Linked DNA regions of Xenopus tropicalis. The protein of the gene in region 1 purifies or fractionates together with the protein of each later gene. This does not show direct contact. Links are inferred from orthologs where the notes say so. Each region holds a gene or a part of one and is shown on either strand. Other genes may lie near its edges.

Evidence for each region. Proteins that work in one complex are often made in the same cells at the same time.
Region 2: the proteins of snrpa (region 1) and sf3a3 fractionate together in Homo sapiens (co-fractionation; 4 studies listed by BioGRID and IntAct, with this or other methods). This does not show direct contact. The link is inferred for Xenopus tropicalis from reciprocal best matches to the Homo sapiens genes SNRPA and SF3A3.

What each region holds. Positions count from the first base shown.
Region 1 is NC_030684.2:78,495,400-78,506,795, forward strand, and holds snrpa (U1 small nuclear ribonucleoprotein A), read left to right. Parts: upstream 1-4,126; 5' UTR 4,127-4,360; intron 4,361-4,421; exon of another isoform or gene 4,422-4,443; intron 4,444-4,748; 5' UTR 4,749-4,767; coding exon 4,768-4,840; intron 4,841-4,978; coding exon 4,979-5,151; intron 5,152-5,818; coding exon 5,819-5,992; intron 5,993-6,071; coding exon 6,072-6,251; intron 6,252-6,775; coding exon 6,776-6,864; intron 6,865-10,391; coding exon 10,392-10,551; 3' UTR 10,552-10,897; downstream 10,898-11,396. Other genes in the region: UPF0692 protein C19orf54 homolog, read right to left, coding at 1,056-1,185, 1,333-1,457, 1,551-1,619, 2,383-2,593, 3,696-3,768. UniProt on the Homo sapiens protein: Component of the spliceosomal U1 snRNP, which is essential for recognition of the pre-mRNA 5' splice-site and the subsequent assembly of the spliceosome. U1 snRNP is the first snRNP to interact with pre-mRNA.
Region 2 is NC_030678.2:83,817,327-83,828,260, forward strand, and holds part of sf3a3 (splicing factor 3A subunit 3), read right to left. Parts: intron 7,638-10,934; coding exon 7,546-7,637; intron 6,376-7,545; coding exon 6,293-6,375; intron 5,869-6,292; coding exon 5,730-5,868; intron 5,086-5,729; coding exon 5,017-5,085; intron 4,068-5,016; coding exon 4,000-4,067; intron 3,655-3,999; coding exon 3,547-3,654; intron 2,196-3,546; coding exon 2,126-2,195; intron 1,779-2,125; coding exon 1,614-1,778; intron 784-1,613; coding exon 673-783; intron 1-672. UniProt on the Homo sapiens protein: Component of the 17S U2 SnRNP complex of the spliceosome, a large ribonucleoprotein complex that removes introns from transcribed pre-mRNAs.

The sequences.
Region 1 (11,396 bases):
TACACAGAGCAATGCTGCCACCTGGTGGCGAGTAAAGGAAACAAAATACTTTGTTAAAGGAACAGTAACACCAAAAAATGTATATATTTTTAAGAAATGAAACTATAATGTACTGCTGCCCTGCACTGGTAAAAGTTTTGTGTTTGCTTCAGAAACATTACTAGAGTTTATACAAACCCTGCTGTGTAGCCATGGGGGCAGCCATTCAAAAGAAGAAAAGGCACAGGTTATATAGCAGCTTACAGATAAACCCTGTAGAATACAATGGTGTCTTATCTGTTATCTGCTATGTAACCTGTGCCTTTTCTCCTTTTTTCCAGCTTCAATGGCTGCCCCACGGCTACACAGCAGCTTATTTATATAAACTATAGTAGTGTTCCTGAAGCAAACACCCCAGTTTTACCAGTGCAGGACCACAGTACGTTATATTTCAATTACTTTAAAACACTTTCATTTTTTGGTGTTACTGTTCCTTTAAAACAAAGATTCACAATGGGCTTATTTATTCATTTTTGAATAAACTCGCATATGGAATGCTCGCTTATGTTTTAATAAGAAAAACTTGTCCAAATAAAAAAAGCTTGAATACCCCAAATCTTTCAAGTTTACAAAGTCAAAAAACTAAAAATTTTCAAATTTGCAAATATAGCTTGACTTTGTCTAGGACAACTCCCATTGACTTCTACAAAAAACTCACAAGCTTTTAGGTGGTGAAATTTTACATTTAAAGTTTCAAGTTTTTTGCACTTAATAAATACCAGACATTTGAAGTTTTGGACTAAAACTGGAATTATATTAGTTTTACCGCTGTAAAAACTCAAATTGCAAAAAAAATCGAAAATATCAATATACATGCAAGTTGTTAGGCTGCATTGATTAAAGGCCACACTTTAGCTGATCCCTCTAACCACCCAATTTTTCTCAATGTCTCATGGGTGATTTGTGGTGGTGGGGAGCACCTAGGACATATTTTACACAAACCATGCCTTGTAATTCTGCCAGACAGAGAAAAGCTGTAGCTGCACTCTCCATATATTGTTACTGCAAAAGGATACGGGATGAGCACAGGCAACCCTGAAGTCAGCTGCTGCAAAATTTTGCCTTTATTCTCTCCATCCATTCCACCTGTAAGTAGCTCAGACCGACAGCCAAACACTTCCTTTGCCAGGACAGCCATGTTGGCAGCTATGGGAAACATAATTACATTTATTTACATGAATAAGAAGGTTAATCAATTACATTCCCAATAGGACTTGTGTGCAGAGAGTGTGTTTGTAGGTGAGGCCTCAGTAACTCCTGTAGCCAGCAAAACTTCACTGGAACATCACTCACCTGAAAACATCTCCCCCTGAGCTGTGTACCCTCTAGAAACAGCAGCCTCTACAATGGTTTGCAGTGGTGCTTCATGTGCCAGGTTCAGTAATTTCCCTGCCATCCACAGAGCCACCAGCCCACACCTGTTGTGGACAGAAAAAGTAGCATGTATGATGGACAATGCTTTAATACAGGGAAAAAAACACCAAAGCACCATGTCATATGTACGCACTTACTGAGGTCCTTCTTGTATCAAGGATGGTACATACTGGTTATAAAGCAGCCATTTTAACTCCCCATTAAATCTGTCAAAGAAACACACAACATCTATTGTCACAAAATGTACTGACCTCATAAACATGCCATTGTTTTGGTACACTTTAAACCTAGCAACTTCACCTACAAAGAAAATGTCAATTTAAAGAACAAGAAAAACCTATGTCTCTGGGGGTGAAAAGTATTATAAGCATCCCCCAGTAGGCATCTGCTACTTTATTTCAGAAGTCAGAACCAGACACTATAAACAGCACAATAGCTACCGATTTCAATAGCAATTACATTTACAAACAGCTTGAACACCAGTGGAAGTTTGGAATTCATTTTGTTTAGAACTGCATATTCTTTTACTGTGCTAAAAAAAGTGTATTTGGGTGGGCATCCCATTTAATATTGGTTGTATTATAATTTATATGGAGGGTTTTCTGGCTACCATAATTTAACAATTTAATTTGCTGTATCTGGCCAATCATATTCAAATGCTAGGAATGGAGCCCTAATACATTGTTGTAACTGGATGTATAGCTTCTTATGATTTACTAAAGTGCAGGGGCAGGCCCAGACTGGCAATTTGTGGATTCTGCCAAATGCCAGAGGGGCTGCTGTAAGATGCCATAGACAGTTGCTATTTATTGGACTGGTGGGGGGCTGTTTGGGCCTCTGTGTACTTGAAATGCCGCTGCCTATTTTGAAACCTAGTCCAGACCTGTGCAGTGGTTAGTAGACTTAAGTATGTTACATTTTTAAGCACCTCTTAATTTCCTATTACACTTGGACCTGGATTTTGCTTACCTGCTCTGTCTATTTTTGATCATCTTTTTTAACTCTTCACAGCCTCCAGTTGATGGGTCACTGTTTTCAGCTACTTTTTTAAAGAACTTGCACTTCGCCACAGTTGGTGGTAGTAGATGAATCTGTGGTGGTGGAGGCAATGGAGGTGGTGGATCCAGAATGACCCCTGCTTGTTGAGCAGTTGGGTCTTCATTGGTATGTGGCATAGGTCCTGTAAAAACATTTCACATATCATAAATCATTTCCCACATTGTTTATTTAGCAGTGATACAATGACTGTATTCTTTTATAACAGGTGTTAACATATATTTCTCAATTATCCTGTTTTGCAAGAAGTTGTATGTTCTCCTTGTCTGTGTAGGTTTCCTCCCACACTCGAATATACACACAGGTTAACTGGCTCCTGATAAAACTGGTCCTGCTGTGTGTGAATTGTTAGCTTCACTGTGGCAGGAACTAATGTGGTGATGTATAATCTCTGTAAAGGGATGGTGCTATATAAATAATAATAATGACCAGAAAACTGAAGCTGACTCCAGATACTTTACTACTCATAACCAGACTACTACACTGGCAATTAGTACAGGGAAGAGCAGTCTGGAGTCTGTGGGTTCCTCAAGCATTATTATATAGTATACTTTGCAATATATAGGCAAAGACTATATAGCCCACATTCTATTAGTATGTGATATTTAGGCCTCAGTAGTGGATATCAAAATATTGTCACCAGAACTATGGCAAATATACAATTCCAAGCAAATATCTTGCAAGGAGGATTCTGAGCTTTGCAGTTCAAGTAGCAAATTCAGTCTCTATACCTGCCCCTGCAAATTGTGCTATGAACACCTTTTTGCAGCCTTTGGACAGAACTGGGGTGCAAAATGCAAGCTATTGCAGTGACCCATTGCCCCTGGTCTGGTTACTGTAAAAATAGATCTTGACCTTGCTAAATTCTCTACTCTGACCCTGAACTGTGGGTGTCACTTCCTAGCAATTCAAAGCAACAGGTCATTGTATCAACTCCCCAAGGAAGTCCTAACTGAAAATCTATTTTATTACAGGCGCATTAAACAGATCATTTTAATACAAATTTGGGGTTCTAAAAAGACTTGACTTTGGGTCCCTGTAATTCTAGTAATGCCATTGCACGGAGATGAAATTGTGTTGCTACTGGGAGGGATTGTGTGAGAGATTAAACATTTTCCGAGACGCTGAGGAATATGTCGTTTCTAAACCTTACATTGCAGATTTAGCTACAGGTTGTAAACAAGATCTGACACCGTACTTTATAGCATGTTGGTGAAAAAAACTACCAGATCCGGCTTCAGTTCGGAAACATTCTTTGACCACGTGTGTACTAAACCATATATGTATCCCCTTGTTCATCTGTACAGGTTAATTTATTCATTTTAATTGCCAACGATAGTATCTTGAAAACTATCACCTAAGCTATAAACGCCATGAAATCATATTCACGAACACCTACAACAATAGCAAAACAATATAGTCACGTATGCCGCAGGAGTCCGTTTCCTGTTTCCGGGAGGAATATATTAGCAGCTGCACCGCGTTCTACGCCTCGGCCTCCGATTTCATTGGTCGCGCGGCTTGCTTTGGGTTATTGCTATAGGGTGAAATGGCTTTCACTTATGGCTTGCAGCCAATCGATGAAGATTTGGGTAGGTCACCAATGATATACCTGCAAGACGTCGAGAGTTGCTGTAGCAACGCGGCCTAAGTTAGACGTAAATTGGGCGTTGAATGAATTTAGGTACAAGGCCTTCCGGTGGCGGCAATCTCAGTTAATCACATTGGGTTTTAGTGCATGCGACTTGCGTTGCTATCTTGAAATATTTCCTGCTATTGTACGTTCCATCCGGGAAGTTTATTTCTTTTCCAGCGTACCGTATTCGTATCGTAGCACAAGCCCAGCGTTTAATTTGGCGGCCCTTTTAACTGTATCATATCCAGGCTGAGGGTAAGTATGCTTCCGTCCCGTTCATTGTTATATCTTCCCGCTTCCTAGCTGTGCCACAACAACTACGGGCCTCTCACAATCAGGTCCCGGCTGTGATATTTCAACTTTAATGTTACCCTGTGTTCTTTGCATGGCTGTGTCAGGGGCTGTGTAGTTTTGTTATGATCTGGGTGTTGATAATACTAATAATACTATGTTACTACTATATGGCTCGCAAAGGAAAATATATTGTAGACCTTAGTTTGCACAAGTAAATAAGTCTGCGTGTAGTATAGGCACTGGTATATTATATGCACACTCTGCTCATACATAACTGGGCTTATGTACAGACTATACCAGGGCATTGTTCTATTTTAAGATGCAATTAACCCTTTTTTTCTCCCTTCAGATTAAGTTGTTGAGGAAGTATGGCTGTTCAAGAAGTCAGGCCTAATAACACAATCTACATCAACAACCTGAATGAGAAAATTAAAAAAGATGGTGAGTTAAGGCTGTAGCAATCCCTGGAGCGCAACCTAAATCTCTGTACCAGTGTTTACATTACTGCAATTTAGTGCTATTTAGAATTACTTGGTCTTTGAAAATCCAAAGATTTGACTTTTGCTTTCTTCTCTTTAGAGCTAAAGAAGTCTCTTTATGCCATATTCTCACAGTTTGGTCAGATTCTGGATATCTTGGTGTCTCGCAGCCTGAAGATGAGAGGACAGGCTTTTGTTATATTTAAAGAAATAAGCAGTGCCACAAATGCTCTGAGGTCAATGCAGGGGTTTCCCTTTTATGATAAACCAATGGTTAGTATTTATTGTAGTTTTTTTCCCATTTTTCATTTACTTTACTTCAAAGTGTTCTTTTAGGATAAGTCTATGGTTATAGAGACATGAATGATATCTGACACTTTATGGAAAAATGGTCAGTGACAGTGGAATGACCCATATATTTATATGAAAGGACATGGGTGTATATACCATCTTACTGGCAGATTAAAGGACTAGAAACAATTTTCCAAATCCCCCTGCCTATAAAGTAAACATACCTTTGTACGTGCATATTTGGGGTGTATGCTAATTTTCATTGAGGGGTTGAGAAGAAACTATGCACTCCCATATTGAAAAGGATATTGTACATAAGTTAATAACATCTTCAATAACCATCCTTCATAATATTTTTACAGGGCTCCTGGGTTAATACTTGTGAATGTGTGGGAGTTTACATCTGCTTAGGTAGTTTGCATGGATAGCTGTGCACATTGTTGCTAAAGGAATCCCACACCCAGTGCAATTAAATATATGGCTTGTTTGTTTATCTGTGCTCATTATTTCTTTAGAAAAAAAGAACTATAAAGCCAAGTTGGGTAGGGTGGTGGTGGATACATTCTGTTCAGTTTCCATACAGTATCTCCTCCCATTCCATTAAAACTTGGTTATTTTAGTCTTTATGCTGATTTTGCTTTTACTCCAGAGAATACAATATTCAAAATCCGATTCTGACATCATTGCCAAAATGAAAGGTACCTATGTGGAAAGAGACAGAAAGAGGCAGGAGAAGAGGAAGGTGAAAGGCCAGGAAGCTCCGGGTGTTAAAAAGGCTTTACCAGGTGCTGCGTTGCTTCCAGGCGTTCCAGGACAGATGGCGGTAAATACATACAATTTTTTTTTTTTCTTGAAAGAAACCCGTTATGTTGTGCACAGCCATAATTTTATTTATTTTTTAGGGCATGCAAAATATACCTGGTATGACTCAAGCTCCACGCATGATGCATATGGCTGGGCAGGCACCCTACATGCATCACCCTGGTATGATGCCACCACCAGGGATGGCACCAGGACAGATCCCACCAGGAGGCATGCCCCATGGACACCTGATGCCTGGGCAGATGGCACCCATGCAGCCAGTAAGTTAGACTACATCACCAGATCTGTCTGTGGGTGATAGTCTCGCTAGCTTTTATAAAGAGTACCTGATGTCTGCTAGCTTAACTATTCTTTGCAGCTTTCGGGGGAGGGGGTGCGGTGCTTAAAGGAGACATATTGGATAAATGGGGAAAACCCTAATATTGTAGGCAATTATGAATAATATATGGTGCTGGTTTCCCTTTGTGCTTAAAATTAATCCAATCTGTAAAAATGGCCCCTTTATTGGAGCTCCCTATAGATCCTCTCTTCTGACCATGTTTAAAATGAAGAGTGGGCGTTTCCTAATGGTCCCTGCCAGAAGCACAACTTTTTTAAGCGCAATCCTTCTATATCTAGAGGAGTAAAATTCACTGGTACATTCATTATTTTTATAGGATACATCTCCTTTAATATACTGGCAACTCCCAATAAACCTGGTGTCTTTCAAGAGCTGTCCACAGAAACTGCCTGTGTCTGAGTTTTTCAGTCATAACTTTGAATGCTGTTTTTTATTTTTTTTTAGATTTCTGAAAACCCACCTAACCACATCCTCTTCCTCACCAACCTTCCAGAGGAAACAAATGAGCTAATGCTATCTATGCTGTTTAACCAGTAAGTATTGCACAAAATATAACTGTTGTACACTGTCGTAGTTGCATAAAAACACCCTTGTCATATTTCAGTATTGCAGGGCAAAATTATGGAGTGGAAATTGTCCACAAAAAACCTTAATAAAAATATAACTTAGAACCTACAGAATAGCCGGTCTTTTCCAAGTCTGGCATGTTTTGCTTTTGCCCTTACTGTAACTATTTGGCTAGCATCCTGCCTATAGTGAGCAATTGGCTGTAGTTTTGTAGTTAACCAATTGTATTGTAAGTAATGCTTACACTGGAGACCTTGTTTCACATACAGGTCCTTTTCAAAAAATTAGCATATTGTGATAAAGTTCATTATTTTCTGTAATGTACTGATAAACATTAGACTTTCATATATTTTAGATTCATTACACACAACTGAAGTAGTTCAAGCCTTTTCTTGTTTTAATATTGATGATTGTGGCATACAGCTCATGAAAACCCAAAATTCCTATCTCAAAAAATTAGCATATCATGAAAAGGTTCTCTAAACGAGCTATTAACCTAATCATCTGAATCAACAAATTAACTCTAAAAACCTGCAAAAGATTCCTGAGGTTTTTAAAAACTCCCAGCCTGGTTCATTACTCAAAACCGCAATCATGGGTAAGACTGCCGACCTGACTGCTGTCCAGAAGGCCATCATTGACACCCTCAAGCAAGAGGGTAAGACACAGAAAGAAATTTCTGAACGAATAGGCTGTTCCCAGAGTGCTGTATCAAGGCACCTCAGTGGGAAGTCTGTGGGAAGGAAAAAGTGTGGCAGAAAACGCTGCACAACGAGAAGAGGTGACTGGGCCCTGAGGAAGATTGTGGAGAAGGACCGATTCCTGACCTTGGGGGACCTGCGGAAGCAGTGGACTGAGTCTGGAGTAGAAACATCCAGAGCCACCGTGTACAGGCGCGTGCAGGAAATGGGCTACAGGTGCCGCATTCCCCAGGTCAAGCCACTTTTGAACCAGAAACAGCGGCAGAAGCGCCTGACCTGGGCTACAGAGAAGCAGCACTGGACTGTTGCTCAGTGGTCCAAAGTATGTCATTCGGAAATCAAGGTGCCAGAGTCTGGAGGAAGACTGGGGAGAGGGAAATGCCAAAATGCCTGAAGTCCAGTGTCAAGTACCCACAGTCAGTGATGGTCTGGGGTGCCATGTCAGCTGCTGGTGTTGGTCCACTGTGTTTTATCAAGGGCAGGGTCAATGCAGCTAGCTATCAGGAGATTTTGGAGCACTTCATGCTTCCATCTGCTGAAAAGCTTTATGGAGATGAAGATTTCATTTTTCAGCACGACCTGGCACCTGCTCACAGTGCCAAAACCACTGGTAAATGGTTTACTGACCATGGTATTACTGTGCTCAATTGGCCTGCCAACTCTCCTGACCTGAACCCCATAGAGAATCTGTGGGATATTGTGAAGAGAAAGTTGAGAGACACAAGACCCAACACTCTGGATGAGCTTAAGGCCGCTATTGAAGCATCCTGGGCCTCCATAACACCTGAGCAGTGCCACAGGCTGATTGCCTCCATGCCACGCCACATTGAAGCAGTCATTTCTGCAAAAGGATTCCCGACCAAGTATTGAGTGCATAACTGAACATAATTATTTGAAGGTTGACTTTTTTTGTATTAAAAACACTTTTCTTTTATTGGTCGGATGAAATATGCTAATTTTTTGAGATAGGAATTTTGGGTTTTCATGAGCTGTATGCCACAATCATCAATATTAAAACAAGAAAAGGCTTGAACTACTTCAGTTGTGTGTAATGAATCTAAAATATATGAAAGTCTAATGTTTATCAGTACATTACAGAAAATAATGAACTTTATCACAATATGCTAATTTTTTGAAAAGGACCTGTACATTATAGGATGTTATCCAAAAACTTGTTGTTCAGAAAGCTCAGAATTATGGGAAGGGAATCTTCAATAGACTGTTTTAATTAAATTACATTTTAAAATTTTTTTACTTTTTTTATTTAGTAGACTTAAAGTATGCAGATATAAATTACAGAGACCCATAATCTGGAAAACCCCAGGTCCTAAGTATGCTGGATAGTCGATCTTAAATCTTTGCTGATATTTAAGTACTGCAACTATAATTATTCTAAGTCAGTGCTGTCCAACTTCTGCGGTGCCGAGGGCCGGAATTTCTATAGCATACATGGTGGAGGGCCGCTAATGGAAGCCAGTTTTGACCACTCCCCTTTTTGAAACCACACCTATTTTATCACAATGGTGGTAGCACAGCAAAATCCCAAATGCTTGGTGCTTACTGTGGGGATATCAACCATCATTCATATGTGAAAGAATTATGTCATATTAAGATATACCCTTAAATTCCATATGCCTCCTCCTCCCCTGTGGATAGCAGAGCAACCCCCAGTACATAATTACACACCTTAGGGACCATTTAATAGCTATTTCCAACTGCTAACAAACTCCCACAAACCCCTGCCAGGTTCACCTCCCACAAGCAGCATAGGGCAAGCAGAGTATGCTGTCTGTGTGTGCCATACTCTGCCTGCCCTACCCTGCCTGTGTGTGTCATACTCTGCCTGCCCTACCCTTCCTGTGTGTGCCATACTCTGCCTACCCTGCCTGTGTGTGCCGTACTCTACCTGCCCTATGCTGCCTGTGTGTGCCATACTCTGCCTGCCCTACCCTTCCTGTGTGTGCCATACCCTCCCTGCCCTATGCTGCCTGTGTGTGCCATACTCTGCCTGCCCTATGATGGCTGTATGTGCCATGCTCTGCCTGCCCTACCCTGCCTGTGTGTACCATACCCTCCCTGCCCTATGCTGTCTGTGTGTGCCATACTCTGCCTACCCTATGCTCCCTGTGTGTGCCATACTCTGCCTGCCCTACCCTGCCTATGTGTACCATACCCTCCCTGCCCTATGCTCCCTGTGTGTGCCATACACACAGGCAGCATAGTCCAGGCAGTACCTACATAGGTACTGTAGGTACCTGAGGTGTGAAGAAGTGAACCTCAGTGAGCCTGAGGTGTGAACACTGCAGGGGGTGAACAATGCAGGAATTAAAAGGTGTGAAAAACACAGGGGATTACATTTTTAAACAATACAGGGGGATTACAGCCTGAATCTGAGGTGAGAACCATGCAGGGGGGGCAGTTAATCTCAGTACTGATACCATTTAAAGCTTACTCAAAGGTAAGCCATCAAAGCAGCCAGACAGGTGGGGGGCCACACAAAGGGGGGTCCAGTTGGACAGCACTGTTCTAAGTAATGCAGATTGTAGACACCCTACAATTGTATTTTCTTTTTTTTTTCCATTGGATAAGGACAGTGTCCAATAGATAAAGAAATAGCATAGTGACTTGCCAAGCAGTCCTTTTAAAGCTTCCAATGCTGTAATATCGTCTCACATAGGTCCAAAGAGAGGGTTCTTGCATCTCAATAGAAACTTGCAAATTGTGTGTTGTACATACATGTGTATGTTACAAAGGTGAACACCCCCCATTAAATTTATTATTTTTTTTACCAGATTTCCTGGTTTCAAGGAAGTTCGACTTGTCCCTGGCCGCCATGACATTGCTTTTGTGGAATTCGATAATGAGGTTCAGGCAGGAGCTGCTCGCGAGTCTCTTCAGGGATTCAAGATCACACAGAGCAACTCCATGAAGATTTCATTTGCTAAGAAATAACAGGACAACACACTGGATTTTGTACCCTGTACTGTTCAATCCTCACGCACACTGACATGACTCAGGAGTCGGAGCAGAGTTTTTCCGAACAATAGTCAGATGTTGTATTATGGTTTTTTTGCCCCTTCTCCATCAATACGTGCAGATGCTAGGTTTTTTTGTTTTTTTTTTAAAAAAGTAAACTTTGTCTGATGAGATGAGGTGTCATAATGTTGGTGAGTAAAACTTATTAATATTTTTTAAAGTTTTTACTTTTAAGCATTGCACCCAGAGTCTGCAAGTCAGGCATTGTACCTGGAGCTTTTTTCTTTTCTTTGCAATAAACTTTCTTTTTTTTTTTTTTTTTTAAACCAATGTGTCTTAGTCGTTATTTAAAAACTAATGTCCCAGCACTTGTGGTAAATGTTATACTTTTCATTTTGAAAACACCACTAAAAACCTGCTGAAGTTGACCCTGTTATTGTGTTTATTTCTCTGATAGGCTGTTTCTGTTTGGCTATGTTAACTGTACAACGCAATGAGGGCCATGGATGGTGGTAAAGTTGTTGCTATCAAGTCTGAGAAGTGGCAGTTTACTCAAGGCTAAAGTTGGAAGGGGACATATACCAACACTTTTTGCTTTGTGGTTTTCACTAGTTTTTTGAGGTGCTGCCAGCACTTTTCATATTGGGATGGGTTGGACAGACCTGGGAGGTATTCCTAAGTGATTGTAGGTTTAGGGCACTCCTCTTCCTGTTTGCTCATTTTTATTTTTTTTTCTAAAGGGCAAACAGATTTTCCTTTAAAATATTTTACAATTTTGTGGTGAGGCCTGCCATTTTCTTATTTTCAAAGTACCCACAGCC
Region 2 (10,934 bases), on another chromosome or scaffold:
GGATCGCTGCCTTAACTAGCTTTTACACATGGAATAAAACCCAACAGCATTTCTGACATCCATATGGAGTGCAGCTTAGTTAATGCTGCTTTAATAACATAGATAGAGCCTAATAATTTAGAGACATATATCCAAATTGTAGACAGCCTGTTTCTATCTTATTAAAGCAGCCCTGGATGCATAGTTGGCCACAAAGTCATTGAGTAATCTCCTCCCACAATTCATTAAGTGAGGGGTAACTATTTTTGGTTATAAAGCAGTGCTATGTGTATGTATGTATGTATATCTTTATTTATAAAGAGCTACTTATGTACGCAGCGCTGTACAGTAGAATACATTAATACAAACAGGGGATTATTAAGATAATAATAGATAAATACAAAGTATAACATATACAGATAAATACAAGATAAATACAGTTGCAATAAGTTAAAGAGAGTTAAAGACACAAGAGGATGGAGGTCCCTGCCCCGTAGAGCTTACAATATATATAACTGAGGCATGTAAATGCCCTATGTTTTAGAAAGCCTTTACACTGCAAACCTGTGACGAGTACTATATAGAAGCGGCAGTCATCCCACATGTGAGGTACATAGTAATAAACAATCTATACAGTTTTGTAACAACCACTAACACGCAGAAAAAAAAAAAAAAAAAAAAAAAACACCTCACCGCAAAATGCCTCTGGAAAGCTTTGGGCCCTCTGTAGGTGAAGTTTCCGCAAATCTCACAGTTGTAGTTGATATTCAGGCCATGTAGCTTGTATAACCAATAAGGTATAGGCTGCAAAAATATGAATATATGAGCAACAACTACTTGAGTCAATTTCTTTTTTTTAATACTGTAAAATAAACATTACACAGTGCTAGCTACCCAGCTATCTCTAATGCTAAATCTGCAGGTAGTATTCTTTTCTATTGTGGAGGACAGAATTATGGCCTGCTGGCAGAACATGGGCACAGATTAAAAACATGTTTGAACTGTGTTAACTTCCCCCAAGTCCATGCCTGACTAACTGCAACTCAGCCAACTCCACCCATATGGACTACTTTTGCACTGCATTTCCATAAGTGTACAGTAACAAGTAAGGCCAACAAATTGGTGCAACTGGCAAAATCCAAGGTAAGGGTAATGTAACAATTTTAATCTAACATCTAATCTAACATTTTTTTCAACATCTAACTAATCTAATTTTATTTTTACAAATGCATTCTAATTACATTCTTTTCTAGGTTTTTCTTTTTTTTAAATGACTAGTGTGGCAGTTTCAGCAGTATCTATAGGAAATGCCTTGGATAAAACAAATATAGCGGTTCAAATCCAAATCCATCAAAGAGTTTTAATGTTGTATTTCCTTTTTTCAGTCAGATGTACCTATCCCTACTCCTGTTCCAAACATATGGATTAAGGTCACCTAGGCATCAAACGAACTATTAATAAAAATTGGTAGGTCGCTCATACTGGAAACCTTTCAGGTTACAAAACTCACCCCCCCCTCAAAAAAAACAAAAAAAAAGGACCACAGGACATAAAAATATGAATATGTACAAAGAGACCCTTTGCCCAATGCAATCTAAGTTGCATAACATGGTCACCCTTAACACCATGCTTACCTTGCCATCCCATCCAAGAGGAAGGTTTTTAGGGTTGTAAATAATCTCATTATCCTCATCATCACTCTCACTCTCACTGATCTGTTCTTCTTCTTCTTCTTCCCTCTCCTCACCTGTACGGGCTTGTTTACGCTGTACATTCTCATGGGTCAGATGTCTCTGTTCCTGAAAACCAAGAAAGTATGCATGGTTATAGACTAATAAATAACAGCAAAAGTTTAAGCCTAAATCAACATTGATAAATAAGTCTCCCCCATTTTGAAAATTACTTTTGATAAGGCAAGTGTCCATTTTACCTCTTTTTAATTTCATTCTATTTTATGGAAAAACTTTTCTGACTACATAGGCCAAACAGTTAAATAAATAGCACTGATCACCAGGCAGTCGAAAAACAAGCCAACAAAACAAACAACTTGGATTTAGAGGGGAGCTTGGAAATAGACACAGACAATACTGTGTGCAAGAATCTAAGGATCATTGTACATACAGTATTATTCATTATGGTTACTTACCCCTAGAATTTCAACATATTCATACACCTGAGCTTCAAGGAATGCAATGTCTTTGTTTTTCTCTGTGTCTCTGTATGAAAAAATGCAACATTTTATTAAACAGATTACTGTGCAATGAAATGCATATATTATCCTCTAATTGTAAGTAATGCCTACTGAAATCACTTACCACTGCTCAAATAGTACAACTTAGCAAGTCTTATACGTATAGCTGCAAATTGCATGTTTGTGTATGTACCTGTGTCATTCACCCAAAGAGATCAATATTTCACACCAAAGATCTCCCCTATTATACTTACGACATTCCCTGCTACACGGTTGAAGCGAATACAACTTTTCTGTACCTATAAACAGTCACTTTTTCTACTATTTAACAACCCTCGATTTCAAAGAGGGGAAACAGATTCCCAATTTGATCTGTGGAATCGCAAAAGGCAATGGTAGGATTATTACTAAATCCTTATACATTCTTAGAACTGCAAACAAAACAGTGACTCCCCAATAATATCTTTGCATAGCTAAAGATTAAAGGCTATGTAAATTTGGTGACAAAGTATAAAACCACAACTGTCTCATAACCCCCTAGATATACTAATAAGGGTTAATAAAGGGTGACTCCTCTTTGCATCAGGGGGTTTCTACCATCATAAAACCAATGATACATTACAACCTACGTAATAAGTTTTGTGGCCTTGTACCGCATTAGATGCCTTTTGGGGGAAATGTCTTAACACAAGTAAGCACACTGTGCAATATCCCCATTTCTCATACAAATCCACAGATACTACTAGGGTTATACCCTAAATGCACAGACAGCAGCAAAAAAAGGTTATCTTTTGACTGTTGATCTTTATGACTAGCAGAAATACTGGTCTTGAAAGCAATAATTCTATCCTAGAATGCTGAATGACCACATAACCTCCTTCAAAACAACTGTGGGAACGCAAACTACTATACACAATGCAACTTCAATGGGTCTTAGCACTCCAAGAAAGGCTAACATTTCTACCATGTCTGGAATAAATACTTAAGATACATCGAACAGCCGAAAACAGCATAAAGTACTAGCCCTCTTCCAATACACTAAATGGTGGGCAGAAGCTTCTCTTCTAGGTGAACTAAATAACCAGACGACAGGTCGTGAGAGTTACAATCCCGCTTCCTCTTCCCCTTCCATATAAAGATAAAAAAAAAAAAATGTACTATCATTTACACACCTTACTAAATGGCCTTCTCTGCTCCATGATCCCTCTTTTATCCTCTCATCATCAACAGATTGTAAACACAAAGCTAAAAATGAGGTTTCAGCTCTCACTGAAGACATCATGAGAGTAGAACTGCAAACTACATTTATACATAATTGTTTTAAAACAGCTGCAATCTGACTGCAGTGGAGTACAATCATTTATTGGCCCCCTTACCTGCGAGTTCCTTTCGCTTTAGGATTTTTTGCAAACAAAGATGGATCCAGAGACTCCAAAGATTTGCCTTTTGTGCTGAAAAGTCTTTGTGCTCTTTCTTCCAATGTCCTAGAAAGACAGAACAATAAATAAACTCCTTAAACGTAGACTTAACATAAGTCTTTATGATTATATAGAGAATCTGTTTTAAGTTATGCCCTTTTATTTTAAACTGTGAATGCAAAACAATTTGATACATGTTCACTTACATATTTAAACAATATAATGCATTGTGTGATACTAAAATGGCAAACCGCCATTTTGTTATACAACAGGAATCAAAGGCAAACAATCTACTGAATGCACATGCAATATAAATTCAATTTATTTAAACGTGAAAGTCAACACCAATATGTTTATGCTACAGCAGAAAAAAATTCTGTCTGCATTATCTATAACTGCAAGCTCACTTACCCTCCACATTTAAGGCCTAAAGCCATCAGTGCAGATTTTAATCTGTCAAGACCAAGAGAGGCCAACTCCTGCAACAAGAAAAATAATTTCAAACAAGTTTGTTGCAATATGACTTGGATAAAGCTACAAAAACCCAATTATGAACATCTTCTCCCAAAAAAAGAGATCTGTGTCTGCTGTAAAAAGCTCATGTTAATTAAAATGTCTTAAAAAAAATTTAGTGTTACCTTTCCTTTAAGTAAAAAAATCTATTCTACCCTGCCCCAATAATTACCTTATCCTGCACACCATTTATTATTTTGAATTTATTATAAAATATCTGCTAAAACTTGGCTTCCAGTCATTTGAAATAGGGAGATACGGAGATGCAGGGAAGAATCCACTATGCGACAATTGATTGATCGATCCTAGCCTTCCTTCTGTATAGGAAGGAGTCAGGCTAGGCTCGATTATTGGGGCAGGGTAGAATAGATTTTTTACTTGAAAATTTTGTGTTACTTTTCCTTTAAATACGCACCTGTAAAAATGTTTTATACACATATCCTATGAAACATCTTATATTTCCTTTATAAAAACAATGCTTTGGAGATACAACCCTCTAGCTACTAGCTAGTACACCATTATTTGAAGTATAAGTGAAAATTCCTCACAAAGCAGTTAATGACTTATTCTTCCATAATAAAAGACAAGGGCTGATGTCTCCACACATTTTAACATCAGAAGTAATGTCTCCATGCTTAAACTACTACAACGATTTGTGTTGAAATAAACACATCCCTAAAAATAGCACAAGGTTGAAAATACATTGTTTGCAGACTTCAGCAAGTAAAATGCCATCTACAAAAAAATCCATAATAGTGTTTTTACAAGCAGTGTAATTGTTTTTGCTGCTAGAAACCAACTGAAAAAAAATTGTACACGTCATAGAGATATTCCACAAATCTTCACTATGGATGTTTCTCTACACCCATTCTCTTTAATATTGTGGGAAAGATGAGAGGGCTTTCAAATACTTACCTCCCAAGAAGAGAAGGCTGACAGGTCCAGGTGAGCGCCAGCATGAGTGAGTGCGCTGCTTGTCTCTTTCTAAAAACAGCAACATTATCATTACCACAAGGCTCTTCTTATATTTTTAACATAGAAATACTCCTGTATATTAATAACATCTAGAATATATGCACACTCATGTGCTCAGACTTGGGGTTATTCCCTCATATTTTATGTATAACATTTGCTTAAGCTTCTGTTAATATTACAGCTTGATGAAAATATGCTTGTTACTTTAACCTAGATACAGTGCGTAAAACATTCAAGCAAATAATTATTCACCCATAAATGGCAAGAAAAATGTAATTCCTATTTCACATTAAATACAAATCTTTTTTGCTATTTTGATTCAAGAGTCATAACCAGCAGTTCAGAAATTAAATACAGCTACTGGTTAAATAAATAATACATTACATTTACAAATAACCTTAAAGCCACTGACAAACTTTCAATAAATGTATATAAGAGTTAGAGATATTTTTTTTTTTTTTTAATAACACAAAACAATTTTGGGTGGACATCCCCTTTAATATTACCTAATTTTGAACTAAGGGTCTAGGTCTATAAGAACCTCCACCCCAAGGTCGATTCATGAAAATTGGAGGTTACTTTACAAAATATACACTATAAAATTAGCAATTTTTTTTTTAAACACTACTATGGCACTACAATGACAAGTTTACCGGCCAGCCAGGAAATGCACCAGCCTCCCACTTCTTCTCAAACTCAATCTGTATTTTCCCAAAGAGCTCATTCTGATCCTGTAAAGGCTTCACCCGATCTGTATAGTCTTGAAGATATTCAAGAAGTACTTCCAAATACCTGTGGAGTAATTGTGGCAACAGGGATTTAGTCTATTATATAGATAAAAGAATTGGAGCAAAAGTACAAATTTCCAAGCTGCAGTGAATACAACATTTTGAAATCCATGTAACATGAGCTTGTTGGAAGAAATCAACCCTGTTCTCAAAGCTCTAATATTATATGTTTTTCAAAAACCTTGTGACCAGAACTCAATGCAAAGTTGCATCCCTAACAACTATTTTGTAAACTTATAAAATATACAGACAGATCTAAATGTTGTCAGACCCATTAACCCACCGATAATGAGTATTTTAGATATATTTTAGGTATAGCTACTATTTAAATGTGTATGTCTTTCTAAGAAGTTTAGGTTTACACCAGTATAGGCTAGAATGTATTTTGACCAATAGATACACATTATCACTTATTTTTAAGTACAAACCTTTTGTATTCTGCATTTTTCCTCTCTTTTGGAATGTCAAAAAGCTGGTCAAAGGTTGCAAGGTATGTGATATAATCTAATTTCTGAAGAAAGAAAACAAACAAACAAACATAAAACACAATACAAATTTTGCTATATACAGCATGCAAACAAGCTATATCATATATACATACACACAAGTATGGGATCCAGAAAGTTTTGAAATACAGGAAGTCCATCACACACACAATTTTTTTTATAATGGAGTCTAATTTTTAAACATGATTTCCTTTCTCTCTGTAATAATTAAACAGTGCATTATACTTGATGGTAAGATAATTAATCCTTACTGGTGGCAAAACAATTCTATTGCCTTTATTTAATGTTTAAATTATGTTTTTAACAGACTTGGTGTGGTGAACCAAAGTATGGAAAGATTCCATATATTTCTTGGTAGCTTAATGCACAGAATGTCTTAATCTTAATGTCCTATATATTGATAATAGGTTAGTGCAGGGGACCTTTTGTTTTTGTCTAAATGAATTTTGTTGGCCATAGTTGGCCAGCTTGAAATATATTGCAACATATGGAAAAACAATCCCTGTTGTCTAAAGGGCAGGGCTTTTTTTCAGTAGCTTAATTAGCAGAATGTTATAATATATATAAAATTGGTAAGTGCAGTGGACCTTTTGTTTTTGTCAGTATGAATGTTTTGGTCACAGCATCATTACACCCCTGCCTAATGGTTTATAAAATTGGTGAGCACAACTTTCCCTATATATTAGAATAGCATCAGGGCCATTTCCAAACACAGAATACAATGGAAAAAAAATGACTAGTGCACCAACATCTAATACACAGGGAACACATACACTGAATATTCAACAATACACTTACTACACGTAACTGAATCGCATAACAGTGTATGTTTGTTAAAGTAGCATTGCACTGAATGATCTAGTACTATTCATCTTCATCACCAGTTTTATGTGGTGTGTCATACAGAATAGATGTGAACAAATAGTTCAAGGGAGTGGGGTTGATGAAAGGTAGTATGTTAATGCAGTCATTGACTAAAAAGTATATCAAGCCGTTTTCATTCAGTCACGTTGTTCTCAAACAAATATATCATTTTAGGCCAAGAACAATCTTATAAAGTCATGGTACAAGTAAAGCAAAAATTATATCCTAAGAATGGCGCATTTTTATATACAGACTATTACTTAAGTATTTTGTTGCGAAATGCAGAAAAGTGATTTGCATTGAATTCTTACCTCTGAAGATTTGAGGTTAATATATTTCAGGTAGCAGTCATGGAGATCCATATATCTGCCATAGCCCTCTTCATCTGTAAATTCCACCAAATCTGTGTGGTACACAAAGAAGAAGGTCAGTGACCCCTACTCTAAAGCTGTGTGGTGCGCACTAAGAATTCTGTGCAAAAACACAAAATTTTGTATTTACTCTTACCAGAATATTCAGTTTTAAAAAGATGTGCACACAGGTTTAAAATATGTGTGCAAAATATTTTTTTTACACACATCCAAGAAGGAATTAGAGGGAACATTGGTGGTAGGAGCCCAAAAGGTCCCAAAAACTTAAATAAAAGACAAACTTTAATTTAACACACATTTTTTATTATATGATTTCTGTTCACCAAGACTCTTTTAGACTGCCTGAAACAGTCATTTTCTCCCTCGCTATTATAACATTTTCTTTTTAAATGTTAGGCATTACATATTGAGAATAAAGTCTTCATCAAGCTTAAAGGGGACCTGTCACCCTAAGAAATAATTACAAATTGTTTTATATTGTGTTTGTCAAGCAAAATAAACTTGAATTACACTACATACATTTTTTGAAACTTATTTCCTTCACCACTGGAATTCATCATTGCAGAAAACAGGCAGGCTCCATTTTGTGGACACTGTTATTAAAGCAAGCTGTGCATCCTGCCAAAATCTTGTGTATGTGCCAGAATGGGGGGGGGGGCTGATACCTATATCCATGCACTGGTTACAAAATTAGATGGTAAGGAAAGAGGGGGAATGTGAAAAGTGCAGTGACATCTAAGAAGTTCTGAATTGAAAGAGAGATTTTTGTACTTACCGTTAAATCTTTTTCTCTTGTCCTACGATTGGGGAACACAGGCACCATGGGGATGAAGATCCTGCAGCTTGGAGAATGGACACTAAAAGGTTAAAGTAGCTCCTCCTCCTGCTCAGGGCTTCGTCCCCCGCCTACTTCCTCTACTTGCCAGTTTGTTTTTTACCGAAGAAGGAAGGAAAAGGACCTAGCCGAGAATTGTAACCCACTCTTAGGAGAAGGAGCTCCCCCGGGAGACCCCCAACCAGAATGATTAACTGGATATAACTCAAAACTGTAACCCTTGAACTGTAGTAACTCGTATTAACATAGGGAGGGAAGGCCTGTGTTCCCCAATCGTAGGACAAGAGAAAAAGATTTAACGGTAAGTACAAAAATCTCTCTTTCTCTTGCCTACATTGGGGAACACAGGCACCATGGGGACGTCCCAAAGATTCCCATGAGGGTGGGACATCCAATGAACTCTTGGTGGTTCAAGGAATAACTGTCTAACACCTTCCTCCCGAAGCTAGCTTCGGCAGAGGAGTATGTGTGAATCTTGTAGAACTTCGAGAAAGTATGTAAGGAAGACCACACCGCAGCCCTGCATACCTGTTCAGCGGAGGCCTGATTTCTCATGGCCCACGAAGTGCTTAATGATCGTGTAGAATGAGCCCGGACCTGGAAGGGTGGTGGTCTTCCTCTGGTTGCGTATCCTCTAAGGATGGTAGCCCTAATCCATTTTGCTAAGGTGGTCTTGGAGGCCTTTAGACCCTTTCTGGGGCCTTCCGGTATAATGAAGAGGGTGTCCACCTTTCTAACCTTTTTCGTTGCCTCTATGTAAGTCCTAAGCGAGCGTACCACGTCTAGGGTGTGAAGTTTCTCCTCCTGATGGCTTTTGGGATTAGGGCATAGGGAAGGTACCACAAGGTCTTGGTTAAGGTGGAATTCCGAAACCACCTTCGGCAGGAATTCCGGTGTTGGTCGCAAGACCACCTTGTCAGCATGGAAGATGGTGAACGGGGACTTGTGAGACAGGGCTGAAAGTTCCGACACTCTTCTGGCCGATGTGATTGCCAGTAGAAAAACGGTCTTGGCTGTCAGTGTTGAAAGAGGGATGGAGTCCAGAGGTTCGAATGGATCCTCCTGTAGTGCCGACAGCACCAGATTTAGGTCCCATGGTGGGATGGGGTGTCTGTACGGAGGGGCGATCCGCAGGGCACCCTGTAGGAAGGTTCTTATGTTCGGTCGTAAGGCCAGCTGTTGTTGGTAAAGTACGGACAGTGCTGACACCTGTACCTTCAAGGAGCTGAGGGCGAGCCCTTTGTGGAGTCCCTCCTGAAGGAATATTAGAAGGTTGCCCTCTTCCAGGACCTGTGGGTCCCTGCTGTTGGTCTCACACCACGTGATGAATGCTTTCCAAATCCTGTGGTAAATGCGGGCTGAGACTGCCTTTCTTGCTCGCAGCATGGTTGGTATGGCTTCGCGTGGCACTCCTGTCCTGGCTAAAACTAGGGCCTCAAGAGCCACGCCGTTAAAGCCAGCGACTGTAAATTCGGGTGGACGCATGGACCCTGCGTCAGGAGATCCTCCCTGGCTGGAAGGGGGAGCGGTTCGTCTGCGGAGAGTTCTATCACGTCTGTGAACCATGGTCGGCGTGGCCAGTAGGGGGCCACCAGGATGGTGCTGATGCCCTCTCTTCTTATTTTCTTTATGACTCGGGGCAGAAGGGCCAGGGGTGGGAACACGTATACCAGCTCGAACTGCCACGGAACTACCAGTGCATCTACTGCCAGTGCTGATGGGTCCCTGCTTCTTGCTATGAATCGAGGTAACTTGCGGTTGTATCGTGATGCCATGAGGTCTACTTCTGGTAGGCCCCATCTTGCCACGATTTCCTGAAAGGCCTCTGGGTGGAGGCTCCACTCTCCCTGGTCTAGAGTTTGACGACTCAGGAAATCTGCTGTCCAGTTCTCTACTCCCGGAATGTGGACCGCGGAGATTGCAGGGACATTCTGTTCGGCCCATAGTAGGATCCTTTGTGCCTCTGCTAGTGCTCTTTGGCTGCGTGTTCCTCCCTGATGGTTGATGTAGGCCACTGCTGTCTGATTGTCTGTTTGTACTCTTATCGGGTGGCCTCTTAGGAGATTTGTCCAGTGAGCCAGTGAGAGGAAGACTGCGCGGAGTTCTAGGATGTTGATGGGGAGGGAGCGTTCTTCCCTTTTCCAACGTCCCTGGACCGTTCTGCTTGCCAGGACTCCTCCCCAGCCCTGTAGGCTGGCGTCCGTTGTCACCACTGTCCACTCGTGACTTGGGAAGGGGCTCCCTAACTGTAGTCTGGGTGGGTGTTGCCACCAGGAGAGAGATGCCTTGACCTGTGGTGGGACTGATATTACTCTGTCCAGGTTTTGTCGGTCCCTCCTCTGTTGTAGGATGATTAGTCTCTGGAGTGGTCTGGTGTGCAGTTGCGCGTATGGCAGCGCTGGAAATGCTGAGACCATTGTGCCTAGGGTCTGCATGCAGATGCGTAAGGGTAGGCTGTCCGCTTGTTGAATTGTGGAGATCCTTCTGCACAGGG